2 linked regions of the Alligator mississippiensis genome follow. The protein of the gene in region 2 interacts with the protein of the main gene of each other region in a biochemical or structural test. Links are inferred from orthologs where the notes say so. Each region holds a gene or a part of one and is shown on either strand. Other genes may lie near its edges.

The links.
Region 1: the proteins of RDX (region 2) and ARHGDIA form a complex in vitro, tested with the Homo sapiens proteins (2 studies listed by BioGRID and IntAct). The link is inferred for Alligator mississippiensis from reciprocal best matches to the Homo sapiens genes RDX and ARHGDIA.

What each region holds. Positions count from the first base shown.
Region 1 is NC_081831.1:492,128-500,119, reverse strand, and holds the start of ARHGDIA (rho GDP-dissociation inhibitor 1), read right to left. Parts: upstream 3,081-7,992; 5' UTR 2,973-3,080; intron 1-2,972. Other genes in the region: ALYREF (THO complex subunit 4), read right to left, coding at 4,033-4,047, 7,250-7,424, 7,615-7,678, 7,785-7,932. UniProt on the Homo sapiens protein: Controls Rho proteins homeostasis. Regulates the GDP/GTP exchange reaction of the Rho proteins by inhibiting the dissociation of GDP from them, and the subsequent binding of GTP to them.
Region 2 is NC_081824.1:435,470,851-435,479,055, reverse strand, and holds the start of RDX (radixin), read right to left. Parts: upstream 3,094-8,205; 5' UTR 3,019-3,093; coding exon 3,001-3,018; intron 1-3,000. UniProt on the Homo sapiens protein: Probably plays a crucial role in the binding of the barbed end of actin filaments to the plasma membrane.

The sequences.
Region 1 (7,992 bases), on a different chromosome or scaffold from region 2:
GGCAAGCCATCAGCCCCGTGGGCCAAGCCAGCGCAGGCTGCAGCACTGGGCGCAGGGAGCTGGCGGGACACAGCCTGGGTGTGGCCACGTTTCGGACGTTACTGGGGAGCAGCTTCCTATGAAGGGCCAAGCCCTTACGTCCAGCATCAGGTAACCACCAGCCCAGCACTGCCCCCTCCAAAGCAAGCCTGGTGGCCCCCAGCACCACGCTCCACATGGCTGGGACTCCTGTGGGTACCACGGGCCCCAGCAGCCCCCTGCCAGCACTGACAGTGAGGACAACTCCAGGCCCAGCAAGTTGTAGCTCAGGGAAGGACACCTCAGTGCCGGGTCCTGGGGGCTGCCCACCCCCCGGCGAGGCACTGGAAGCAGAGTGCTACCACGCAGGCGGAGGGCAAGGAACTCACTCGGGCCTGGGCTGGCGGTGCCGGGAGGGGCCACGTGTGCCCAGCCGGATAGAGGGGCCCAAGGCTCGGCACAGCCCGCCCACCCACCCACCCACCCCAGAGGCTCCCGCTGCCACCTCCTGCCCTGCCCTGCCCACGCCCAGCAGCTCGTCCCAGCGCGCCGCCCCCCCCCGCCCCAGTCACAGCTCCTTGGCAGCTTCCCCAGGGAAGGCGCCAAACCAGGCAGGAAGGAGACTGTCACGAAGCCTCCCCGAGGCCGGGGCTCTTCCTCCAGCCGCTGAGGGGAAGCGCCTGTACAGCCCAGGTCAGTTGGACAGAGAGGGCTGGTGGCAACATGCTCTTGGCCTCTGCTTCCTGGTGCTCAGAGCTGGGCAGACCACACTGCCAGGCCACCCAGACTGACCGCGCCAGCTACCAGGGGCCCCGAGGCCCATGCTCAGGCGTCCCAGCTGCAGCGGGGCACCGGTGCAACCTCCAGCAAAGTGGCGCCTGCAGCAGCTGACGCACCAGGACCTGGGCATAGACAACCACAGCTCCTCCCTAGCTGCTGACCTCCGCACACAGGTCCTGCTAATGGCCGCCATGCGGGCAAGGGGCACCAATGCATGGAGACGCCCCCCTCAAAGAGCCTGGGCTCCTCACCGCTTTGCAGGCTCCCACCCCGATCAATAGCTCCCACACCGCACGGCCTTGCGGCCCCAAGTTGTGCTACTGCCTGCCAGCGCGGGTGACCGCAGGCTGCTCCGCTCCTGCAGCACCAGGCAGCACCCACCTCCGCCGCACAGGAGACCCTCCTCCAGGATCTCCCCAGACCAGTGGGTCACAGGCCGCAGGCACCTGCTGCTGCCCTGGGTTCTCCCTTCCCAGCCCGGGAAGGCAGAGCAGCGCAAGGGAAGCCCTGCCAACGCAAACAGCTGCAGGCGCCAGCACAAGAGACTCGGGGGCATCTCGCACCACGTGCAGCTGCAGGGATTCTCCCCGCTCCAGACCTCCCCCAGCCTGCACACGCCCTCCTTAACCTGTCACCATGACAACCCACAGCTAGCAGTGCTGCAAGGAAAAGCCCCCAGGAAACCCTACATGCACCCAGAGCGGCCTTTCGCAGGCAAACCCACGGAGCTGCTCAGCACCCTCCTTGCAATGCAAGCCTGGCGAGGGAGCCCAAGGGCAAGGGGGCAATGCCTTTCCCCGCAGCAAGCCTCGGCCCTCGCCATCGCAGCACCAACAAGGAAGCCAGCCCTCGAGCAGAGGGGAAAAATGACTCACCGGCACTTCCCCGCAGCCTCAGCAGGGGGCAGGACAGGACTCTCACCCTGCGCCCGAGGCAGAACGCAGCTCCTGAGCCTCCCAGCACGAAACCGCTCCCGCCCGTGGCTCTCAGGAGCACGAAGAGACTGCAGCAGCAGTGCCGTCGGACTCCCCTGGGGTCTCTGTGCCCACCCACGCTCGGGCACCCTGCAGCCGGGATCCCCAGGCTCCTGGCAGACAGCCCCTGGGGACTGCAGCCGGCGCACGCGTGCTCTCAGCGGGGAGGTGGGAAGCCGAGGCCCCTCCGGCCAAGCGCTCAGGGACAGACGACTCGAGCCAGCCCCAGGACACCTTGCTAAAGGGCCACGCTGTCCTGGGCCCGGCGCGGGGACGAGCCAGACCAGCCAAGCGGGCTGCAGGCCAGCTCCGACATCGAGCCCATCGGCCAGCCACGGGCACGAAAGGAAGTATCCGAGCGTCCCAACCCACGCCTGCCCTGGAAACAGCGCCCGGGCTCTGCTCAAGTCCTAGGCCCGGCGGCACGGGCAGCGAGGGGGTGGGGGCACCGGGGCAACCCCCAGGAGCCCACGGACGGACGGACGGACGACAGAGGCAGCCGGGCCCCGCGGTCTTGCTGGTCGGCCCCGGGGCGCCCGCGAGCCTGGCACCGGGGAGGGGCAGCAAGCAGGCGCCGGCGCCTGCATCGTGTGCGTCCGTGACCCGGTTGTGACGGAGGGAGCCTGCCGCCTCCAGAGCCTTTCTGCCGGGCTCCTTGCACCGAGCAGAGGCAGCCCCGCCGCCAGGGCCGCCCGACCCCGCTCGGGTCTGCCAGCCAGCCAGACAGCCAGCGAGGGAGGGAGGGAGGGAGGACAACGGCCTGCGAGCCCATCCCGTCTCCTCGGGCTCCGCTCTGGCGCAAGCGGCTGCGAGGCCGGCCCGGGGACGCCGCTGCCTCCGCGGGGGCAGGGGGAGCGGGAGCACGCGGCTGCGAGCGGGGCCCGAGGGGCGAGCGCGGCCGGGCCGGGGGCTCCCAGGCACCCGCGGGCCGACAGCGGCGCACGGACCCGCCGACGCCGGGCCCGGCTTTTGTGGGGGGCCGCGCCCGGGGGCAGGCCCGGCGAGACCTCGGCACAGACGCGCCCCCGCGGCGGAGCGGGACCGGGAGCCGCCGTGACCCCGGAGACGCCCCCAGGCCCCGCGCGCGGAGGCCGCAGCACTGGCGGGAGCAGGACCCGGGCGCCCCGCCCCGCCCGTGGCCCCGGGCCTGGGCCTGGGCCTGGGCACGAGAGGTCGCAGCCCCGCCCCGCCCCGCCCTACCCGGCCCGTTCGCTGCTCCGAGCTGCACTGACACCGCCGCCCGGATCCGCCCCACCGCCGCTGCGTGCCCTCGCACTTCCGGGACACGCCCGTCACTTCCTGTTATATGAGGCCGACCCCAAGTGCCTCACTTCCGGCCCGGCTCGCGACGCTGATTGGCCAGACGGGACTGGGCATGCGACCGCTGGGGGAGGGACCATAGAGTTCGGGCGCCGGAGGGAGCGCCCCTGCGAGAAGCATGGCGGGCTGTCCGCAACCGGAAGCGCCTGTGGCAATAAAGTGGAGGCGGCAGCCCGAGCCCCGCCCCTGCCGTGACGTCACCGGGCGGGAAATAGGCGGGGGGGGGGGGGGACGGATCGCGGCAGCACGTGGAGCAGCCCCACCCGGCAGGGCTCCGGGGGGCGGAAAGGGGCACACGAGGCCCCCCCGAGAAACGAGCAGGGGGCGGGGGGTCACTGAAAGACCAAGTCTTTCCTGGGCCCCTCGCAGCCAGGCTTGGTGCAGCAGCGGGGTCCGGGCCCTCCCGCCACACGCTGCACTCTCGTGTCCCTGCAGCTAGGGCAGGGCGGCTCCCCCCGCAGCTGCACGCACACAGCTCGCACTGACGCTGGGGAGGGGAAAAGAGCCAAGGCAGAACAGTAGCCTCCTCCGGAGGGCAAGGGACTCGGCCCTCAGCACGGGATGCGACAGAGGCCTGCCCACCACCTCCCACCCGCTCACGCTCCTGCCGCCCGCTGACTCCGCTCCTCGGCTCCAGCTGCAACAGGAAGCAAACATTTACAGATCTAGACACATTTCTATTTTATTACGGCAAAGGTGAAAAAGCCACCTCCGCCCAACAGGCAACCAGTAAAATTTTTCCCAAAAATAACTCGGTACAAAACAGGTCTGTTTCAGAATTAAAAAAAACCTTTACATGAGTTTAAAACCTATTCCAAAACATAAAAGTAAAACAAATTCCGTCCTTGATAGTAGTAGCCACAGTCGTACACCCCTCCCTCCGGAGAGCATGGAATGAGATGTCTGGAGTCCTTTCCATGCAGGGGACGTGCTCGCTGCTTTAGCTGGTGTCCATCTAGAACAAGAGTGAAGTGCAGTTACTCGGCTGTGCCATGGGCAAGGCAAAGAGGACCTATGGAGCGTGCTCGCACAAAGCTTTCCGGTTCAACCCGAGCTTAGCCAGAGCCTCAGTCCCGTTCATGATCAGTTTAGAGCCAGCTGCTTCCACTGGAACATACCAATATGGGAAGAAAGGGTCAAACTGGCTGAAATGCATTAGGTGTGAACCCGCCTAACTGGGCACACTTTAAAAATGAACTGACTGGTGCACTTCTCCAAGGTGGGCAAGACCCTGCTCTCCCTTCCCCTCTTTCCCAGCACCCCTGTCTAGTTTTAAGAGACCCCATTTCATTTCCACCACCTGAGAGGGAAGCCCAGCACATCTCAGAGGTTGTACTATTCCCCCTCCCCCCCGAAATCCAGCTCCAGCTCTCCTCCTCCGTCACCCTCTTATTTTCATCCTGTTCTTCCCAGTAATGTTTAAAAGGCAAGGCACACCCCACCCTTCTCAGATACAGGAAGTGCGTAGTGAGAGCAGCCCTCCTGAATTATGAAGCACGCAGGCAGTCCGGGGCATGCTGCATTACTTGTTTTTAGTATTAGCTTCACGTTAACAGGTGCCCATCTTAGTTTTCTGTGTCCTGCAGGTGTGTGTCCACAGTACAAACAACTGCAGAAACTGCCCTGGAGAATCTGGCTGCCGTGTTGCGCAGTTCAGCCCCTACCACGACCGGTACCTGCAGCTCTACTCGTGGCATGGCCCCCCAGAGCACATGGGGGGGGCAGCAGACAGAAGCCAGGCTCCAGCACTCCAGGTTGGGGCTGTCATAAGGCTGGTAAGCAGTTTTTCAGGGCAAGGTTGCCATGGCAATGGGAGAACAGGTCTCAGCAAGCAGTAGCAAGGGGTGAACAGCCTGAGCAATGTAGAGGAAACGGCTCAGGACAGGGGTCAAAGAAACAGGCCTGTGCCACATGCACCTGCTGGCGCAAGAGGCAGTTGAGCTGGGTAGTGCAGGTGGGATTCTTGGCTGCCAAGGATGCAGAAGGAGGCGTTAAGGATGAGGTGTTACAGGTGGGGGGGCACTTCTACCACCACGGACAGTAGCAACATACTGACATTAAACCAGTTAGGTTTCAGACATTCATAACACCGCCTGGGAGAGAGCACTCCGCAGCACTGCTGCTCAAGCCTGGCGGCAGCCACAAGCATTCAGCGCACGCACGATTTAGTAGTTTTCTTTGCTAGTGAAGCACTGGTAAAATAAGCCTTTGTCAGCCAGTCACGCTGCTGGTGTAGATTCAGCACGTGACCTGCAATAACACCAGGCCCTTGCTACTTCCTCCTTGCTTTGCAGATGCAAACCAACGTCACACTGACCATACAGTGACAGTCCTGTGTGCTGACTCCTGCATTTCTGGCAGCTGGTCTCCTCAGGCCTAGGGCCCCGTGTCACTCACCCCGCCAGCCCTTTTAAAACATCCCTAGGAACAACTCAAGTGCTCTGTTCACTCCTCTCGAACACTGGTCCCAACATAGATCAAGCCTAGGGGTCCTCACTGGAAGTGTTTTCACAGCAGCTAGCTCTGCTACAATATAGTTTAAGCCTGTTCCATGCTAAGCTTCCAGCTTGTGAATTAAGTCGCATGAGGTCTGGCCAACTCCATTTCCCCCCGCTATCACTGTAGTTCTGCAAGAGAGCCATCGAGCTGCCCATCAAGATGTCCTGTACAAACCCATCATGCTACTTGCTGCTCATGTCTTCGTTATCTGTTAAATGCCTAGAAGTGGTTTAATAAAAGTTTTTCCAGCATGTACTAGACAAAACCTGCCCAGGTCACTCTTATTCTGATAAATGGGCACATTTGCTCTGCTTCGTTCTTCACATACCTCCCAATGTGTCTCTTAGCAAGGACTAGAGTCTGAAATGGCAGTCAGTTTGCCGATCACTTCCCCTTATCTAGGAGACTTTCACATAGCACATGCCCACATGCTCGTTAACAGGAGCCTGAAAGCCTCACAGTCTAAGCCAGGGGTGGGCAAATAATTGGGCTAGGAAGTTTTGGCGAGCTCTTGCAAGCTAGGTCAGCACCCCCTAGCCCACAACAGCTCACCAAGAGTCCTCAAGTGATAGATTACTAAACTGGTCTGGGGGGGCACCAGACAGAGTGGGCAGGGTCTCCCCCACAGTCAGCTGAGTGAATAGGATGGGGCTGTGGGCAGGAAGAGAGCAGGAGGCCGGGGGTAAAGCCGCGATCCGCCCCCAGTAAGGCCCCATGATCCTGGGCCTGACCTCACCCATCCTGCTTCCAGACACTGCCCCCTGCACCCCCATCCCATTGTCCAGCAGAGTGCACCCTGCCTACAGGGTCCTGGGTCTGTCTCCCTGGAGACCCTTCCCACCTGCTCCGTCTTGCTCCTCGGGGGGCGGGGGGGCGCAGCACAGATCATGGTACCTAGATTTAGTGGCAGCAGCAGCTCCTCTGGCTGGCAAGCAGAGTCCAGCCACTGTACTGCCCCAGCCCTGCTGCATGCCCGGGGGTGGCAGGACTGACCACATGCACTGCAGTCCAGGCTGCCCACCACATCTGGGCTAGGTGGGGCCGAGGGACCCCCTGCAGACTGAATAAAATCCCTTGGCAGGCCAGATTCAGTCCACGGGCTGCATTTTGCCCACCCCTGATCTAAGCTGTTGTTAACAGACTAGCTGCAGGCACCCAATTCTTTAGATCCATTACCTACATTTCCCAGTCTAATCATAGGCCTGCTTTCTCCTTTAGGACAGCTCCACTGCATGCATTCATTCAGTCAGTGGAGGCTGCCCTGCTGAGTGCGGTTGCTGGCCCCTTTATTTGAAGGGGCAGGGGGACAACACCAGATGTGCCTCCAATGATGCAGCCCTTCTCTGCTAGCCTTCAGCATCAGGTCACACTAGGTCAAGCTCTTTGCCCCAGCTCTTCCCCTCACCCACAAAGAGTGGACCCAGATCTTCACAGACAGTAATGTGCAGCACTGACAGGAGAGTCTGGCCCAAACAGGCCTCTGCCTGTTGAAAAGCTGGTCCCCGAGGGCCACTTCTTACTTCTGAATAAGACAATTCAGGAACCAGGTACTGACCAGTCTCGAGGAGACACATTTGGCCCATCATTCTGGCAAACAGCTGTAGACTGTTGAGGACTGATGTACACATACAAACTCCACCCAGGGAACCTGTACTTACCCTGGCATTGTAAGCATCCAACTGTGCATCTAATTCTTCTGCAGAGAGTTGCTGCTTTGAACTTCTTCCTGTTCCTCTGCCTCTCCCTCTGTTCCCACCACGGCTACCTCGCCTGTTACTGCCTCCACCACCAAATCCTGACCCACGGGTTCTGGTCATGCCACCTCTGTTTACACTGTGAAGCAGAGAAAGCAGTTTTGTTAGTCATGGCACAGTCCCACCACAAGGAAACCCAACCACCAGGAAAGTGCTGCAAGGACAGACCTGAAGCCCAAAGCCATCTTCCTACAGAAGCAGGCTACACAAATTCACTGCCCACATGAAGAGAACGAGTCACCCAGGCCCCATGAGACAAAACATCTCACCTTTGTATTGGTCTCCTCTGTGTGTCTATCTGTGATGTGACCAGTTGGATGTTCATGGGGCGCCCTGGGAGAGGGGAAAACGGAATACAAATTTCTGCCAGTGGCACTGGCAACTAAAATCCTTCCCCTACTGAATCAAGTGTCCCCTGGAAAGAGCCAGGCACACTCACCATCCAAGGGGACACCATTGTACTGCTTCATCGCCTTCAGAGCATCTGCCTTTCTTTCAAAGTGTACATCTGCCGTCCCTAAACTGCGTCCAGACCGGTCATAATGTACTGCCGCCTTCTTCAAGGTCCCAAACTCTGCAAAGAGTTCCTGAAAAACAGAGAGAGGGGAGCTGTTGGCACTTGCTGAGATGCAGAGAAGCTATTCCAC
Region 2 (8,205 bases):
CATCAATAATGATTCCAAGATCCTTTTCTACCTCTGCACTGACAAGAAGGGAGTTCCCCAGCCTGTAGGTATGCTGCTGGTTCTTCCTCCCCAGGTGCAGCACCTTGCACTTGTCAGTGTTGAAACCCATCCTGTTCTCATCCACCCACCCCTGTAACCTTTCTAGGTCCAATTGCAGCCTATTCCTCCTTTCTAGCGTGCTCACATCCCCCCACATCTTGGTGTCATCAGCAAATTTGAACAGGGTGCTTTTTACCCCCTCGTCCAAGTAACTGATGAAGATGTTGAACAGTACGGGTCCGAAGACCGAGCACTGGGGGACCCCACTGCCCACATCCCTCCAGGTTGAAATGACCCGTCCACCACCACTCTCTGGGTGCAGCCCTCCAGCCAGTAAGCGACCCATTTGACTGTGTAGGTGTCGACGCCAGAGTCCCCTAGTTTTTTTTAAATGAGGGTGGGGTGAGAGACAGTGTCGAAGGCCTTCCTGAAGTCCAGAAAGACTATGTCAACTGCTACCCCTGCGTCTACAGATTTTGTGACCTGGTCATAGAAGGCCACCAGCCTGGTTTGACAGGACCTGCCTCTAATCAACCCGTGTTGGTTGTCCCTAAGCATAACCTCCCCTGCTGGCCCCTCGTGGACATGTGCCAGGATAATTGTCTCAAAAAGCTTACCCAGGATCGAGGTAAGACTAACTGGCCTATAGTTTCCTGGGTCCTCCTTCCTCCCTTTTTTGAAAATGGGAACCACACTGGCCCTTTTCCAGTCCTCTGGCACCACACCAGAGCACCACGAGTGCTCGTAAAGCTGTGCCAGAGATCCCGCAATGACCTCTGCTAATTCCCTCAGCACTCTGGGGTGGAGGTTGTCAGGACCTGCTGATTTAAATACGTCTAGTCCCTCCAGAAGTTCCCTGTCTAGATCCTCACTGACCCTAGGCCTGGGTGCACCTCCCCCGGGGCCTCAGGGGGTCCCGGTCAATGGGCTGATCTGGTCCCTGCTCAGGAAAATGGAGGCAAAGAAATCGTTAAATAGGTTAGCCTTGTCGTCTGGTGCAACAACCAGATTTCCTAGCGTGTCTTGCAGAGGCCAACTCTCTCTGAATCAGCACCAAATCTTCCAAAGCCGATTCGATTCAAGACAGTGATCTGAATCTCCAAATCAAATCACTGTCCTCTGAATCAGCACTGAATACTTCTCTATTTGCACAGGCTTAATGTCAATGTTTCTTTAGTATTTCTGAAATAGGTCTGAGGCCTAATAAGGAATTTGAAGGAGATATTAGCAGTCATATGGATTACCTGAAGAATGTAGTTCCATGTATAAGTGTAAAAGAAAGCACCTATGCATTTTTGGTGGTTTGGAAGTCTTATGCAAACAATTAATAAGAAAAAACTGGACAACAGATAGCAGTAAAAAAAATATGAACCAATCTGAAGGTTTATGCAAACCACTGGAATTTGATTAAGGGAAATTGTGCAGGAGCCAATGAAAGTATTTGAAGAATTGACGATATGATTATAGCAACAGGAAATAATTTTAGTAGTTGTATTTTGACTTACTGGAGAGGAGATGCTGGTGTTTAGGAGGTTCAGGTTGATAAGGTTACAGTACATGAGACAGAAGACAAGAACCTGAATAAAAACATTTGTCTGTCTTAACAAAAACAGGCAAGAGCTATGCAAGTAGCAGCAAATTTGGTTACAGTCTGAATGTGTGGGGCAAAGGAAGGTGACAAGTGTGACAGGGGGCAATCTCCCAGGCTCAACATGCAGGCTCCTCTGTAGCCTGCACCAGCCCACTAAGTGCCCTCCGATGGTGCTCCGCCACACAAGAAATATAGTTTGTTTGGTTTTTTTAAATGAACAGCAACAAATGATGGAGGTAACAGAGAGGATATAGGAGGAAAAATGAGATTTTTTTATTGTAAAGTCAGAATCAGTGTCTTCTGGTATGGGGGAGGGGAGAATGGGAGGTGGACACAGGTCACAGGTATGGAAAGGACAATTTTTTTCTAATGCAACTATTGGTCCATCAGCAGGATATATTCAGCAAATTTTAAAAAACACACTTCAATGGAACAACAGAAATTTTCTGTGTAAAGAAAAACCAACACCAGTCTGATAGAAACAGAGGAGTTATTAGGTGATGACGTACAACATCTGCAAGAATTAAACGGTCCTTAAAGGGACAGTAAAGTAAGGAAAATACATAAACTGAATATGTAACTTGCAGGATCTGTTTGAATAAGCACAAATATTCTAATCCGGATAAAGTTTCTGAATGTTAAAAAGATCCAAGTACGGGAGGTGTGTTGTAACAGTATCTTACAACTACAATAGATAAACACACACACACACACACACACACACACACACACACACTATCAGGTCAATTAGATGCATTACACTAATTGTAATAGTCGTCAGCTATGCTGTTTATACAAAAGGTCAAAGGAAAACAGTCAGCCAACTGCATTAACATTTATGTGTTCACTTTTGCTAACAGGGTACAAGCTGAGGGGAAATGTACTCCCCACTTCTTAAAGTAAATCAGTTTATTTTTAAACAGGAAAGGAATAAAATGCCTTTGTTAAAAGTTTACTACTTTATTCCTGTTGGCAGTTGTGGTTACAGTCAAGGTTTGAATTACATTCTGACTCTTGGCGGGGAGGGGGGGGAGAGTCTGTAGCAGGAGCAACCAGAAGGACCCGCGGCCACCCGAGGCAAGCCAAGGGGGCTCTCGTCTCTTATGGGGGAGCTCAGCCCACCCAAGCTCCCCCAGAATTCAAGCCCTAGTTACAGTCCAAAAGGTTCTACTGCTACAAACAGTCACTGCAGCTTTAAAACTACCTATCTATAGCACAACATTTTTTAGGCTTCTGATGCATTATATAAATAAATGGTCCACCCTCCCTATTTTTCCTTCCTCTCCTCTCTATTTTGATAATTTGTTCATACCTAATTTCATAACTATTTGAACATGGCTTTTTCATACCCAGGAGAGAAAGTCCATTTATACCACTCAACAGCACTTCTGTCAACCAAATAATGTTGTTGTCCCCGCTTGTTCATTTGATGAGATGGTATGCGCCAGTCTAGACCAGATGAAGACACACTCTGAAAGTAAAAATTTAACATCCTCACAGGACTTCATTTAATATTTCAAAGCAACTCCACAAAGGTTATAATAAGCTTCCACAAGTCATAAAATGAAATGGAACATTTCAGTAATTTCATAAAGAAGTGTAAGTGAAAATCAGGCACTAACCTGCAGGGAAAAGGGGCCTAAACTAATATAGAAAAATTTCTTGAAATGGAAAGTTCAGAAGTATGGGGAACTCCCTCATCCCTTCAGTCTGTTATACTAGTTCAGGTATGAATATCCCAAAATAAACATAATTTTGGTAGAAACCTATGGATGCAGATAGTAGTAACAATGAACGTTTCCAAATGAAACACACTTAAAAATGCTTTAAAAAGGAAACATTTCAGCCAGTGGACACAGGTACATCCCTGTGTCACTAAACATTTCAATGTTGCAGCTTCCTCTACTGCCAGCCAGGCAGCATTAGGGCAGGCTGCAAGGAACAAATGTTCTGCTCTCAGCTCCCTGCTCCCCTTCACTTCACAGGGACAGCAGGAAGTAGGGGGAGAGGGGGGGCAAGAGTAGAGTGGAGAGACAAGCAGGGGTTGGAGGGGAATGGAGTGGGGCAGGGGACAAGTAGGTTAGGAATACCAACTTTCCCCCCAATCCCTGCTGTTGGCTCTTAAATCTCCAAATTTCTCTCTACCCTCCCCCAACAAAGGGGAGGGGCAGAAAGGATTGGGAGCAGAGGGTTCGAATGACATTACCCAGAGAGTTGCGTGTATCCAGCTGTCCTTTTGAAACATTTTAAAAGACATCTACAACATTTTAATTGTTACTTGTGTCCATGTCTTATCTGGAGTGCAGAGCAAAGTGCATCAATTCTCATATTATGACCAAGGCTAATGACCAAGAACCTGCAAATAAAATTTGTGCCTTTCTGACATAACAAGAATTCTTGCTTCATATGGAGATGACAAATAAAGACATTTCTGAGAGGTGTTAACTGCAATTGGTGCTGCTGTACTTTATATTCCTTGGCATTATCTAGGTCTAATCATGCTGGAAATTCTTCAGTCTCCCCACAATGCTCTGTACCAGAAGCCTGATACTAAGATGGGAAGTCCATGACATTCAGAAACTGTTCCCATTACTCCAGAGCTGAACTTCCACCTCACAAATCAGGCTCAGGATCTGCTTCTTTGACCCAAGGACCATCTTTCATGAGAGGTATATACAATGTCAGCACAAGGCTCTGGCTTCTGGAGGCTATCAGACTAAAGGAGATCAGGGAGGGCACAGACTAAGGTCTGATGGATGGAAAGGACAGGGCTGTGCTTACTGGTACTGTGACTCCTTGCTTTACCTTCACACCACGAGAACAGAGGGTGCTTTCTTTCATGAGGGGTAATGTAACTAAGAAGTGAAACTTGGAGAGGCTGGGAAACTTGTTTCCTCAAAAAATATCCTCTTACTATATAGATACTACATGGTGGGAGGCTTCTCCCTTATGCAAGGTCTAGACAGAAGCCGGCCCAGGACAATGAAAAGCAGGGTGTGGCAGCAGCAGAGCTCAGTGCACATGCACCTGGGGGCTGAGAACAGAACTTGCAGTGGTGAAAGGGGGGGGTATGACTGCACCACCACACACCCCATATCCAGTCAGGCATCCAGGTAATGCCATACCTAAAGGAACAGGGTCAGAAAGGCGCAGTAAAAGTTGAGGCCTGGAATTGCAAAGTGTTTTGGCCCTGGATTGAAGTATAGACCCTTACCCACAGAAAGCCAGCTGAAGAACTTGAACTTGTAAAAGAGATCCCTTATGTGCCAGAGCCAAGTGTGGATACATACAGTAGTAGAATACAGAGTTGAAGATCTTTGCCTCTTTTATACCCTAGAAACATGACATCTAGTGAAAATTGGTATTCCATCTACCAGAGCATGAGAGTTAGAACATTAAGGGAAGATGGTATCAAAAAGACAGCCGAAATCATGGTTCTCATTTCCCTCCACGCCACACCTACCCCCACGCCCTCACTGAAGCCAATGACAGTTTCACCTTAACACAGGGTGGACAATTATTTCGGCTCAACAAGTTTTGGCAAGCTGTCAGGGACCACATGGGTAGCCCGGTCTCTTGACAGATGCCCTGACACCTGGTCACCACACTGGGACCATAAGTCCTGCCCCATGACTCCTGACCTTTGCCACCAGAAGTCCCTCCCCTTGCATCCCCCGCCCTGCTACGCCTCCCACCAAATGCTCCTTTTAAGAGGGAATCATAGAACCAGAAAAAAAAAAAACCAAATCATACACTAGAAGTAAAACATCTATTATATTTTAATTTTACTACAAAAAATATTTGTCACAACTTGTAATTAGATACTGCATATAGAAGGAATAGCATAATAACAACTCAAAATAAAAGTGTCACTCTGCTGGTTGGGCAGAGCCCTTCTGCCCAAGAGGGTTCGAGCAAGGTCCAATAGGTTATGTTGTGAGGGTTGTACATGTGGGTGCCTTGCTCTCACCCTTGTTGGAAGAAGGGCTGGGCAGGGTGCAATTCATGGGGAGGCGGGGACAGACCATGGAGTGGATGAAAGTACATGGTAGGCTGGATACAGCCCACAGGCTGTATTTTCCCCGCCCCTGCCTTAACATACCATCACCATATGATTTGTAAAATGAAATATATAAATTCAAGCACCTAGACAGGTAAAGAATTTGAGATTAAAAAAAAGTTTGTTTTGTTTTTCTAAAATGAATTCCGAGTGGAGGGTAGACGTGATTAAATGGGTATGGTGAAGAGCATATAAAACAGAGGATATTTGGCTATTTAAATAAAATACAGGGCTGCCAGGGAATGAGAATCCTCACCAATCTAGTGAATACTTAGGTAAGTAAGGATAAATCTTTTACTTCTAAAGAATGTTTTTACAAAACACATTGCAACAATACAAGACTAGGTTAGAATAGGGAAGGAAAAAAAAGGTAAATCTTAATTCAATTACTTTGCACAATGAAGGTTAATCACAGCATAAAATGTTGCATTCATGTTAAAATAGTGTTGCAAACCAGTTACTTTAAGTGACAAGCTGTGACCTATCATTTAGCCTTTAAAATAACTTAAGTGGCTTGAATGACGAGAATGTCCTAACTAGCAACATTGCTCCAGTCATATTAGAGTATTACAGCAAGTATATTCTGGCAATCACTCTCACTTGTTCACTTACTTGCCACACCTTTGATGGGAGAATAAATATAATAAACAAACAGACAAAAATAATTGCAGTTCTTACAATCGATCTGTATAAGGTAACTTCTTATTTTCTCACAGAATGTCTAACAAGGTGATAACATTCATGCTCAAGGTCAGCCAAGTCCTGTTTTGGTATAGTCTCTATGTCTGGTGACTGGCTCCCTGCTGAGCTCACCTCCCTGGCTAATTCTTTCTTTAATTTCTCTCAGAGTGTACCTTCCGTTGCCAGTGTTTCTGTGATCCCCGTGTCCCTTGAAGAGTCTCACCGCTTTTCTGATTCAGGTAAGTATCTCCCCAGTGCATGGGCTGCCTCTTGTCCCGACACAGCTATAGAACTCCTGCACCTCCGCACAGGCTGTTTCAACCTTCCAGGTGGAATTCGCATTCCTCACCCCCTTCCAGGGGGTGTTTGTTGGGGAAGTGCCCTTTTCAAGGTGTTCCCTTACTTGCTTCAGGTCTCTAGTTTATAATTCTTTGCAGGTGTTCAAATCTCCCTCCTCCAGAGGTCACCTGATGACATCATCACCTCCGGTTCTCAGTAAGTTTAACTCTTCCCCTCCTAGTAACAGGGTCAATAGACTCCCTGTTACATTAAGCACAAAGTATTCCCTTTTCTCCCTAAATTCAAACCCAGGATTGTATTACACATGATTAAGTAAAATCAAATTGCACCAAAAAGAGGGAGCAGAAACAAAAATAAGGGGAGTGCTGATAAAGCATTTGTCGATTTACAAGTATGTGCTTATGGGTTTATCTCCCCTGTTGATTTTTATATACTGTAGGCAAATGGTAATCTTATAGGACACACCCCTAATTATGAAATATATCCAACTTTCATATTTGCATTATTGAGTTGTGGCAGGTGGACTTGATTTAAAATGGAACAATCTTTCAGTTACTGGTGCCATATATAGGTATCTTTATTAAATAATACCTTTCCTTGTACATTTGTATGTTTTGTAAGCTGTAGGCATAAGTGCCAGAACAGGACTGATTGTTTGTCCTTTTTCAATTGAAATAGAGATCTGAAGATTGAGGCACCTCAAGAAAAAGACATCAAACTGGAACAGTACATTTCTATTCACAACTGAAATGCCAATCGTATAGATGTGAGGGGAAAAAATGTAAAATAAGTTATCATCTCATTCTCCAATATATACTATAGAATCAAATATTGGAAATGTAATGTGCAAGGTACAGTCAGGGGTATCATAGTGTGTGGTGAGTAGAGTGTGGGGTGGGTAGGGGCAACACAGAATAAGAGCTATTGCTGCAGTCAAGCAGGATCACCAACCCAAAAAAATGTTTTTTACTGACTTTCTGCAAACTGCCATTCAGGGCCTGGCAGAAAGGTCACACTTAAATTATGTAAACCATCAGCAGGGGTGTAGTTAATTTGCGGTTCTGCAGAAACTGTGAGAACTGGCACCTACAAATTGCCAGGAAATATCACATTGGCCACAATTTCCCACAAAATCAACCTAAAAAACCAAGCAAACAGTGTATTATTTATATAATACACTGTTTTAGAATGTCCCAATGCTTACCATAATACAAAGACAGTGCGACAATCACTGCAGCCACAGATCACGTGACAGTGCTAGTGAGAGACTAAATGAAGGTGCCAGTCAGTGAAGTGAAAATGTTTCCATTAAGGTTAGTATTAATTAGTATTTCTAAATTTTTCATATTGTATATAAAGTGTATAATATATTTAAATTTATAATATGATAAATTATAATTTACTTTCTATGGAAATTGCTATTAAATTATACAGTACATGCCTCTCTGCCAATTAGCAGTGAGGGGCAGGGCCGCTGGGAAATGCCTCAAAATGGCTCTTCATGCCACAACCA